Linked DNA regions of Macaca fascicularis. The protein of the gene in region 2 binds, or shares a complex with, the protein of the main gene of each other region. Links are inferred from orthologs where the notes say so. Each region holds a gene or a part of one and is shown on either strand. Other genes may lie near its edges. The genes, in order: TGFBR1, TGFB1 and ITGB6.

The links.
Region 1: the proteins of TGFB1 (region 2) and TGFBR1 are in contact, whole or in part, in a crystal structure (PDB 3KFD), measured with the Homo sapiens proteins. The link is inferred for Macaca fascicularis from reciprocal best matches to the Homo sapiens genes TGFB1 and TGFBR1. Residues at the interface, in NP_000651.3 of Homo sapiens: Ala279, Leu280, Asp281, Asn283, Tyr284, Tyr328, Ile329, Trp330, Gln335, Lys338; in NP_004603.1 of Homo sapiens: His39, Leu40, Thr42, Lys43, Phe55, Asn68, Met70, Ile78, Phe84, Val85.
Region 3: the proteins of TGFB1 (region 2) and ITGB6 are in contact, whole or in part, in a crystal structure (PDB 5FFO), measured with the Homo sapiens proteins. The link is inferred for Macaca fascicularis from reciprocal best matches to the Homo sapiens genes TGFB1 and ITGB6. Residues at the interface, in NP_000651.3 of Homo sapiens: Pro70, Gly71, Pro72, Glu75, Leu158, Asn237, Gly245, Asp246, Leu247, Thr249, Ile250, His251, Met253, Asn254; in NP_000879.2 of Homo sapiens: Ser142, Ala143, Ser144, Asp146, Asp147, Pro196, Cys197, Ser199, Ile200, Pro201, Tyr202, Lys228, Lys231, Ile232, Ser233, Ala234, Asn235, Ile236, Asp237, Thr238, Glu240.

The regions. Positions count from the first base shown.
Region 1 is NC_088389.1:58,995,733-58,999,384, forward strand, and holds part of TGFBR1 (TGF-beta receptor type-1), read right to left. Parts: intron 3,084-3,652; coding exon 2,838-3,083; intron 1-2,837. UniProt on the Homo sapiens protein: Transmembrane serine/threonine kinase forming with the TGF-beta type II serine/threonine kinase receptor, TGFBR2, the non-promiscuous receptor for the TGF-beta cytokines TGFB1, TGFB2 and TGFB3.
Region 2 is NC_088393.1:48,485,384-48,489,035, forward strand, and holds part of TGFB1 (transforming growth factor beta-1 proprotein), read right to left. Parts: intron 1,298-3,652; coding exon 1,180-1,297; intron 1-1,179. UniProt on the Homo sapiens protein: Transforming growth factor beta-1 proprotein: Precursor of the Latency-associated peptide (LAP) and Transforming growth factor beta-1 (TGF-beta-1) chains, which constitute the regulatory and active subunit of TGF-beta-1, respectively.
Region 3 is NC_088386.1:55,604,697-55,608,348, forward strand, and holds part of ITGB6 (integrin beta-6), read right to left. Parts: intron 3,019-3,652; coding exon 2,853-3,018; intron 1,611-2,852; coding exon 1,449-1,610; intron 1-1,448. UniProt on the Homo sapiens protein: Integrin alpha-V:beta-6 (ITGAV:ITGB6) is a receptor for fibronectin and cytotactin. It recognizes the sequence R-G-D in its ligands. Internalization of integrin alpha-V/beta-6 via clathrin-mediated endocytosis promotes carcinoma cell invasion.

The DNA.
Region 1 (3,652 bases), on a different chromosome or scaffold from region 2:
TGGAATATAGTGGTGTGATGTTGGCTCACTGCAACCTCCGCCTCCCGGGTTCAAGCAGTTCTCCTGCCTGAGCCTCTCAGGTAGCTGGGATTACAGGCATGTGCCACCATACCTGGTTAATTTTTGTATCTTAGTAGAGACAGGTTTCACCATGTTGCTCAAGGCTAGTCTCGAACTCCTGACCTCAAGTGATTCACTCACTTTGGCTTCCCAAAGTGCTGGGATTACAGGCATGAGCCGTGCCCAGCCAATAGCTCCACCAGTTTTTTAAAGGCAGAACATATCTTTTTTTTTTTTTTTTTAAACAGAGTTTGCATACTTTTTATTCTATCTTAACCTCCTGAACTTTTAAGTCCAGATCATTTTCTTGTAACTTCCATTAATAATTAAAATTTTCTGGTTGTTTCAGAAAATTACAATTATTCTGACATTCATCCTGAGTCTTGCTGGTTTACTACTTACCACCATTTCTTTCATACCACATCTTTCCCATTCTTGAGATCTTCAGTAGATTAATCTCTTATCATACAGAGTCCTATTTCTAGTAATTTCCTTCAGGAACAGTCCATGCGTCCTTGTACACTGAACTTGTGGCAAGAAGGCTGTTGCCTTTGTATATGAAAAATCTTGGCCTATTTAAAGAATTTTAGGTGACTACAAAAATGTTCCATTTGCCCTCTGATATTTAAGCAGAAAATCTGAACTTTTTTTTTTTTTTTGCCTTTTATAGGTAACCAATGTTTATGTGTGTTAAATGCTTATATAATTCTTTTATTTTTGAAACTGATACTTTTTATTACATGTGTTTGGATTAATATTTTTTCATTAATTTTGCCTGGTATTCTGTCTTCTTTCTAGTCTCATGCCTTTTTCTGGAATTCTGATAATAAGCATATTGGATCATCTAAATCTGTTCCCTATATCTCTTAATATGCTCACCAACTGTCTTTTCTCTGAATTGTAACACAATTTCTTAAGCTTGTCCCAAACTTGACTATAAAATTATGGCATCCAGTCTGTTGTTCGCTCTCAATAGTGCATTTTTAAAAACATTCATCAGTTGGGCTTTTCTTCTGAAAGCAACCTTTAACAACCGTGAAATGTTCTCATTTCATAGTGAATAACTGAAAATAGACCCTGGACTGTTTGAAAGTTCCTCCCTATCATGTGGTAAACCTATTTCATAGGATGACATCTAATCTATCTAGTTCAGACTACTTCTTTTGAGCTCCTAACTCTTCACTGGTAATGTTTTGCTGTTTGCTTATCTTAGAGCTGGAAATGAGAAGTTTATATATGGTAATTAGAAACATGAGAAATGAGGTGACTTCTTCACAAGGTTTTATAAATCTCTATTCAGATATTTCAAGCTCAAATGATGGAAATGGGAAATTCTGGAATTATCCTTTTCTTTGTCACATTATAACTGCAGATGCTTTCATCAAAGTCAAAGACATAGTAGTCTAACCAACCCTTACCACGGGAGAGCTGCATTATCATGCTGAACAGGTGGAGGACTGGCCTTTTCCTTCTGCGCTACAGCAGTGCTTCCTCCTTTAATTAGCACAAGGCCTGGACCAACTCTGAGTGGAAAGTGAGCAACTGTGTCTGCTCCTCTGAGCACTGAAGCCAGGTGCTTCCTAAAAGGGAACTGAGAGTTCGCCCCGTACCCTCACTCACCCCCAATCCCTCGTCTAAGTTATTGGTCGGACTTTTCAATGACTAACCTTTCTTATTAGTTATTGATCCTATTCTTTACCAGTCTGGTGTCATCTGTACTGTAAATTGCAGAACTGCAGAAGTTCCTCACAAGTGTTGGCATGTGGGTGGCATTCTACCATTAATTCCACTAGTATTAACATAGGTTGCCCTCATTTTTATATTCCTTTGGGATCTGGGGAAAGAGGTAAGAGTTAAATACATGTGCTCAGACTTCCATATTAAACTGGAATCTTAAAATTAAAAAGTTTATTAAGCCTTCAAACTACTGGTTCTGCCAGGAAATTTTATTTATTTACTTATTTAATTATCTTTTTTTTTTTTTGAGACAGAGCCTCACTCTGTCACCCAGGCTGGAGTGCAGTGGCACAATCTCGGCTCACTGCAAACTCTGCCTCCCAGGTTCAAAGATTCTTGTGCCTCAGCCACCCAAGTAGCTGGGATTACAAGCATGTGCCACCATGCCCAGCTAATTTTTGTGATTTTAGTAGAGATAGGGTTTCGCCAGGTTGTCCAGGCTGGTCTCAAACTTCTGGCCTCAAGTGATCTGCCCACCTTAGGCTTTCCAAAGTGCTGGGATTACAGGCATGAGTCACCAGCCCCGGGAAATTTTAAATGTAAACTACAGGTGAAGGACCAAAATTCTAGAAATCATGTATAATTAATTTATGCATAAAGATAATAAAACAAGCTGAGATTACAAAATGAAAACATCTAGACTACTTAGTGCTGCTCTGAATTACCACTCATTAAGACTGTTGACTGCTGTAAAAGATAGGAGCATTATATAAGGAAGAAGAAATTCACTCTGAGAACAAAGTAGAGACAATCTGAAGATGTTGTTGGGGCTTTGTCAGAATTTGCTTTTATCTATCCTTTTAGGTATAACAGACCTCAGAGGAAGTCCACCCTGGAACAACCTTCTTAAACAACACACACCCAGGAGGCAGGATCTTGGCTACTCTTATAAGTCTGTAACAGTGGACAAGCCACTTCTTGCCTCTAAACGGAATGAGTTGGATTAGACAACTTCTATGATCCCTTCCACTTCTAAAGTCACAGAGTGTGAAGGGTTTTTCTTGTAGTATCTAGGAAAAAAATTTTATAGAACAACTTACCAGTAGTTGGAAGTTCTATTTTATTGCAATGGTCCTGATTGCAGCAATATGTTGTAGTCACAGACCCAGTTTTTGAAGAGGGTGCACATACAAATGGCCTATCTCGAGGAATTAAGTCAATTTCAGCTATACACATGCTGTTGTGTATAACTTTGTCTGTGGTCTCTGTGACAGAGACAAAGCAGAGCCCATCTGTCACACAAGTAAAATTGTCTTTTGTACAGAGGTGGCAGAAACACTGTAATGCTGGAAAAAGAGAAAGATTCTATTAGAAAAAAATCTCAAGGTTAACAGTTTGGAATTATCCAATATTCACTCTAACAATACATTCTTGATCCTATTATCACACAACTTCTATGCACTGTTCAAAAAAACAACTATTCGTTGCTCTTAGAAGTTTCAAATTATATTAAGAACCACACACATGTGGAAGCCCAAGGAAATGTAGTAACACTTGGATCCAGGTTTTTTCCTGAAGTTTTTTGCTTCCAAGTATAGAAAAATTTTGTTATGTTCAATTTCATCAAAGCAAGGCAAGCATTTGCCTTCCCATTAGAAACAAAGTACATTTAAATTTGTAATGGTTATACTTTTTTTTGTTTTGTTTTGTTTTTAACCAGCCCCAAACTAAACATTCACATACTCCTCCTTTGAGAAGCAATGCGTGAAAACACTACCACCCATTAACTGTAGGCTAATGCCATTTCAGGGGCTTTCTGGGTAATGGAGTAACAGAAACAGATTTGTACTGAGCCAGACACTCCCTATTCCCCTTGGTGCAAACCCTAAAAAAGACATGTGTATTCTGGCCAGGA
Region 2 (3,652 bases):
CTCCCAACAGCGCTTAGGGCATCCCCCATCCTGCATGCCTCTCTGTCCCAGCCTTGTCCTCTCTGCCCGTGCCTCCCCGTCCCATCCTCAATCATTCTAGGTCATTCCTGCCTGGTGGGGCAAGATCTCTTCGGTGTCCAGAAGTGACTGTGGGCCCCATGAGGGCAGAACTGAGGGCTGTCTTGGTTACCACTGTGTCCCCCACACCACCCAGCACAGGGCCAGACACACAGCAGGAACCTGTGGGCAATGATTGAATAAAAGCATGAATGAGAGGGAGGTGAGGGAGAGAGATACGGGCACCATGGCCCCTGCCGGGAACTGGACAGAGACAGTCATCTCTGGGACAGATCAAATGAGTTAGGCTCCCTGGCCTCTGGGCCTTTGCACAGACTGTTCCCCTTGCCTGGAACACTTGTTTTTCTTTTTTTTTGAGATGGGATCTCACTCTTTCGTGTAGGCTGGATTGCAGTACTGTGATTATGGCTCACTGCAGCCTCGACCTCCCAGGCGCAGGTGATTCTCCCACCTCAGTCTCCCAAGCAGCTGGGACTATAGGCGCGCACCAGCATGCATGGCTAATTTTTGTATTTTTTTGTAGACACCGGGTTTTGCCATGTTACCCAGGCTGCTCTCAAACTCCTGAACTCCAGCGATCCATCCTCCTTAGTCTTCCAAAGTGCTGGGATTATAGGTGTAAGCCACCGTGCCCAGCCCCAGAATACTCTTACACCTCTCCTTTTCCTGACCATTCTACTCATCCCTTCAACATCAGCTATGGTGCCCCTCCTCCAGGAAGCCCTCCCTGATTCTGGGCTGGGTCAGGTACCTTCTTTGGGCTCCCCATCCCGGTCCCACCCACTCTGGGTCATCACTGCCTTACAGATCTGTTCCCCAGCTACCCACCCAATGAACTATATGAGCTCTATGAGGGCAAGGATGGGGCTGATTTGGTCATTGCTCTGTCCTTAGCATCACCCATCACAAGGCAGGGCAGAGAGGTGCTCAGGAAACAGATTAGCCAATCACTCGGGTTTCCAGGCCACAGAGGGGAGCCAGGTCTCAGTACTTTCACACCAGTATGGGGCGGAGAGGGATCCTAGGTAAAGTGACCCCAAGACAACACAATGGGGTGCACCCCACTGAGAAACAGGGGTGGGACACACAAGTGATCCTCACCTCCGCGGCTCAACCACTGCCGCACAACTCCGGTGACATCAAAAGACAACCACTCCGGCGAGTCGCTGGGCGCCAGCAGCCGGTTGCTGAGGTATCGCCAGGAATTGTTGCTGTATTTCTAGAGGATGATGAAGTTGGGAGAGAGACAGTGGGTATATGCTGCCACGCCCCCTCATATACTAACTCAACCCTTCACCCCATCTGCTTCCAGAAAGTTCCCACGCACTACCTTCTCAGACAGCCACGCTGTGTGGTCCTGTGGCACCCATCCTCCCCCACAGCACCCGTGAGAGGAAGGGTGGAGAAAACGCCCAGGCTGCGGTCAAGACACCTTCACACAGCTCAGTCAAACGTGTTTTCTTGCCTTCTCCGGCCTGTTTCCTCATTGGTGAAATGCTAAGCCCCACTCAGCGTGGACAGCCCACAATGCTAAAATTCCGCTGCTAACATTCTGGGCTGGGCACAGTGGCTCATGCCTGTAATTCCAGCACTTTGGGAGCCCAAGGCGGTGGATCACTTGAGGTCAGGAGTTCAAGACCAGCCTGGCCAACATGGTGAAACCCCATCTCTACTAAAAATACAAAAATTAGCCAGGCATGGTGGCGTGCGCCTGTAGTCCCCACTATTTGGGAGGCTGAGGCAGGAGAATTGCTTGAGCCCGGAAGATAGAGATTGCAGTGAGCCAAGATCCCGCCACTGCACTCCAGCCTGGGTGGCAGGATGAGACTTCGTCTCAAAATAATATTAATTAATAAATAAATAAATAACAAATACAATAAAATTCTGCTGCAAACATTCTGGGGTTTGCTGAGCATGCAGTTCTGCAAATGTGACACCCTGAATTCTAAGTCAGTAACTTAGAAGTCATTTTGTGATTCAAATGTTTGATAATATCCCAAGATTTCCACATTTAATGAGCCTGAGAAGCTTTAGAAGACTAATGTTCTATAAACCCAAGAGTCTGCCAAGCCGCACCTAGATGCTGGAGGCACCCAACATCTGTGTAGTATAATTTTCTGGGCTGGGCGCAGTGGCTCACGCCTGTAATCCCAGCACTTTGGGAGGCCGAGGCAGGCAGATCACCCGAGGTCAGAAGTTCGAGACCACCCTGACCAATATGGAGAAACCCTGTCTCTACTAAAAATACAGAATTAGCCAGGCGTGGTGGCGCACGCCTGTCATCCTAGCTACTCGGGAGGCTGAGGCAGGAGAATCGCTTGAACCCGGGAGGCAGAGGTTGCAGTGAGCTGAGATCGTGCCATTGCACTCCAGCCTGGGCAACAGCAGCAAAACTCCACCACAAAAAAAAAAAAGAATTTTCTGGGGCTGGATAGACCACTCCAGGGCCTGCAGAATAAAGCTGAATTCCCCAGACTCCAAGAGGCCAAGCTAACATAGGACAAAGTTCTCTCACTATGAAAGTCTGAAATCTACCATCGTATGAGTTTAACATTCCCTCTGATGTGGATTCTAGCTCATAGAAACTGCTAGAGCCTCCAGCCCTTCCAGATGCCCCAGTCCTCTTGGAAGCTCCCTATCTTCTAGAGCAGTGCTGTCCTAAAGAACTTTCTGGAAATGTTCTTTTTCTGCAACATCCAAAATAGTAGCTGCTAACCACATGTGACTATAGAGCACTAGAAATACAACCAGTGAGAATGAGGATTTGTTTTTCATTTTTATTTTTTGAGACAGAGTCTCGCTCTGTTGCCCAGGCTGGAATGCATGGTATGATCTCCGCTCACTGCAGTCTCCACCTCCCAGGGTCAAGCGATTCTCCCGTCTCAGCCTCCTGAGTAGCTGGGATTACAGGTGCCCGCCACCACACCTGGCTAATTTTTGTATTTTTAGTAGAGATGGAGTTTCGCCATGTTGGCCAGGCTGGTCTTGAACTCTTGACCTCAAGTGATCCACCCACTTGGCCTCCCAAAGTGCTGGGATTACAGGCATGAGCCACCACACCTGGCCTATATATATATTTTTTGAGACAGGGTCTCGCTCCATCACCCAGGCTGGAGTGCAGTGGTGCAATCACAGTTCACTATAGCCTCGACCTCCTGGGCTCAATCAATCCTCCCACCTCAGACTACTGAGTAGCTGGGACTAGAGGCACACATCACCGTTAACAGGCTAATTTTAGTATTTTTTGTAGAGACCAAGTTTCAAAATGTTTCCCAGACTGGTCTCGGACTCCCGGGCTCAAGCAATCTGCCTGCCTCGGCTCCCCAAAGTGCTGGGATTAGAGATGTGAGCCACTATGCCTGGCCCTAAATTTTTAATTTAATTTTAAATACTTTAAATTTTAATAAAATTAAATGTGACTAGCGGCTGTCACATTGGACAGCATGATTCTAGAGTCCCCAACCTTTTCAGAGATCCCAACTTTCAAGAATCCTGTGTCCTTAAAGAGTCCAACTCCTAAGATTCCAGCCTTCTAAGTGTTTAACGTCCTAGGATGCAAAGAGTCTGAATGTTT
Region 3 (3,652 bases), on a different chromosome or scaffold from region 2:
GAGAATAGCTTTCCAATTGACATTAGAATTCTAGGTTCCTGTCTCCCTCTTTCTCTCCTCTTGCACCCCCTCCCCCTCTCTTTCTCCCCCACCTACACCTCCACAGCATTGTTCTAAGAAGTCACTTAAATTCTCTGTACCATATTTCCCCAAGTGTTAAATGGGGAAAATATGACAATCGCAGATTGCTGCTTCAGAAATCAAATCTATTTCTTTGTTTTCTTTCTTTCTTTTTGAGACAGAGTCTTGCTCTGTCTCCCAGGCTGGAGTGCTGTGGTGCGATCTTGGCTCACTGCAAGCTCCACCTCCCGGGTTCACGTCATTCTCCTGCCTCAGTCTCCCGAGTAGCTGGGATTACAGGTGCCCGCCACCGTGCCTGGCTAATATTTTGTATTTTTTAGTAGAGACGGGGTTTCACAGTGTTAGCCAGGATGGTCTTGATCTCCTGACCTCGTGATCTGCCCGCCTTGGCCTCCCAAAGTGCTGGGATTACAGGCGAGAGCCAATGCGCCCAGCCTCTATTTCATACATGAGTTGGCACTCACTGTGTTCTAGGCACTGTGCTATCAGGAAACAGAGATAATAAACCAGGCCTGGCCCTGAGGATTGCGCAAGAAAGAGAGATGTAAGAAAACGTATTTCTACGTAGAGATGTGCAAGAACACATCTGCATATGCAACTGAAGGGAAAGATGATTGCTTCAGAGCCTACCAGAGGTCAAAGAAGGCTCTCTGGGGACAGTAATGACTGAGCTGGCTTTTCAAGGATAATGAAGAGTTTCTCAGCAGGCTAGGAGGGAAGAATATTCCAGGCAGAGGGAATAACATGTGCACAAGCATGACAGCCTCATGGTCTGTTCAGGAAAAGCAGTTGGATACATAGGGGTTTATTGAGAAGATCATGCATGTCCAAAGAGCTCTGAAATTTCTTCCTGGTTTTACGAAAGTCAGTTGTTTTCTTTGAATGTCACTAGCATTTTATAAATTACAAAAAATAAGCCAAAGGTTAATAAGCACCAACCAAGCCATACCTGACTAGTTGTTACCCATGGAACATGAAAGCATGGCACGATTCAGGGACCATCATTCACTGCAAATCCTATATGGTTACTGTTCTGGTTTGGGTCCCTCCTTTCTGAGGCCGTGGCTAAGAACAGAATGAGCTGCCTGTATTGCTTCACCAGCACCAGGCTTTTTGAGAGGTTGGGGAGGTTCTGGGATCATGGGATTCATAGCACATCCAGCTTCCCACATGTCCCACTGCCCACCTATGCTCCGGTGGGAATCTCTAAGGATGGTGAGAATTGAACTGGGGCAACTTGTTAATCTCAGATTAGAAAATGTGCACGGCTTTCACCAAGCGTGAATTATTTCACATGTATTACACCAGTTGTTGCTTCATTCTCCTACTTATAGCCCTGAAAACAGTACAGAGTGCAGGTTACACACCAAGACAGTTGACATGGAGTATTCATTCTTGCTGTCCAAGTGACAGAGCCCATCATTAGGAATGACGATGCCTGCCAGTTTGCTGTCCATTCCAAAATGAGAATCAGCATCACTCACAAAGACCAGGAGGTGCAGGGAATCATTCCGCCAACCAATTTTTTCCTACAGTGAGAAACAAACATTTGTGTGATACTGGAGGGAGGCAGGCGTTTTATTGAGTGTGGATCAATTATGCTGGGACACATTTAGGTTATAAAAATAATATTGCTAGTCTATTTTAGCCTTTTTATCTATTGTGAATTGATAATATTAATGTTTTTAATAAAACATGAAATTCTGTGACATTTGCTTTTTCCTGGATAACATTTTCATATGATTTATGCTTCAGAAAAGCATAGCTCCACTACAATCAGTATTCAGTTGATCTTGACTTTTACATAGTTAAATTATTTTTACAATCCAGCTTTCAGTTCTCCAAAAAATTGAGCAGAGGAGTTCATAGATGGTCCCAAATCCAAATTGAAGCCAAACTCGTGAAAATGCAATGTTAAAGGGGCTCAAAGTAAGCCTGTTTCATTAAAATGTTACCCAGCATTTAGGCACATATTTCTCTTTCTAATGATGTCATCCAAAAATTATAAACCTAATACAAGGATAAGCATTGCTTATGAAAGTATGGCCCCAAGGTCCTGCTAATTAAAATTGTCTGTTGTTGGTGTTTAGTAAAGCCCTCCCCTTTAATTAATATTAGTTCAGGAACCAATTGGGTAAAAACGTATCCTGGCTGTTCCATCCCACATTATTCCTTTCCTTCCTCCTCTAATTCCCTAGTCCTCCCACTTTCTAGGAGCTTCAGCCTTGTTTATTTCCTGGTATTTTCCATGAAGGGCTCTTGCCTAAAGACAAGGGAATCATTCTTGTGGATACTTGTCAGATAGTCAAGGAGAAGCAGTGTTCCTGTGATGTTGTAGAGACAGCACACTTCCAAAGCTTACTTTGTTGGTTCAAAACAATAGCTATGTAGTCATATGTATGGACATATACTGATTCAGAGCATTTTAACTTTTTAAAATAAATGTTCTACCCTTGATTTTTTTTTACCATGATTAATCCAAAAACTAATCTGATCTTGATCTTTGAAAATTAATCATGCATAGCTATTGTTTCAACTAAATTTTCCCAACACAATGTTTTTAGATTATTCATCATAGGCATAAAGAACAGTCCCCATTTCAACATGATTTAATTAAATATTTGGCAAAAATTGTGTGTTTTAAGAAAAATACAAAATGTAGAAATTTAGAGATCAAAGGAAAGGAAATTAGCTAATCTTTTTGAAGTAGAATTGTTAATAAGAGATGAACTTTATGTTAACAGCGTGAAACAGCACTCCCTTCAGCATACCTTACACACAGCAGCTTGCATAATTGCATCAAATCCACCTTCAGGTGTGTCGATATTAGCAGAAATTTTCTGATTCTTCACAATTTCATTGAATCTTTCAGCATCATTTGTCAATGGCAAAATGTGCTTGAATCCAAATGTAGGTAAACAGAAGTATGGAATACTACTGCAAAAGTGAGATGCAAAAATATTATTGATGAAATGTAATGGATCTGATAGCTTAGCAACATTCTCTTAAATGAAGATTAGTTTTTCTAAAGGGCCTGACTCTGTAACTCAGCTATGAATCTCACTGTTAAGGTTGTTGACATCATCTCCCACCCTTTCTATGTTGACCATATTAGCTAACACTTATTTAGAGCTTATTGTGTGTCCTGCACTGGCTCAGACTCAGATAACAGATAATCAGGTGATCAGACTCCTGTGTGTGTGTGTGTGTGTGTGTGTGTGTGTGTGTGTAATCACTACCTTCTATGGGCTCCCAACCAAAATTCACCACTAAGTTTATACAATGACAATTCCTTTGTATTCTGATATCTCAGGCTGTCATCAAGTATGAATCACCCTGTAGCAAGACAAGAGAGGAACCTGTCTTCTTTTTTCTCTGCTCCCTCCTGTACCACCAGGTCTGCCTGCCAAGGGCCCAACAATTGTAGCAGCATTCTTGGTTTGAGAGTCCAACTATACTGGGATTGAATAGGCCAGCCTAGAAATAAAACCACTACTTAAAGTACAACATTACGATGAAATCTGCACCAAAGATATTACAGTAGAACACAAAGGGCTGATCATGAGTTCAG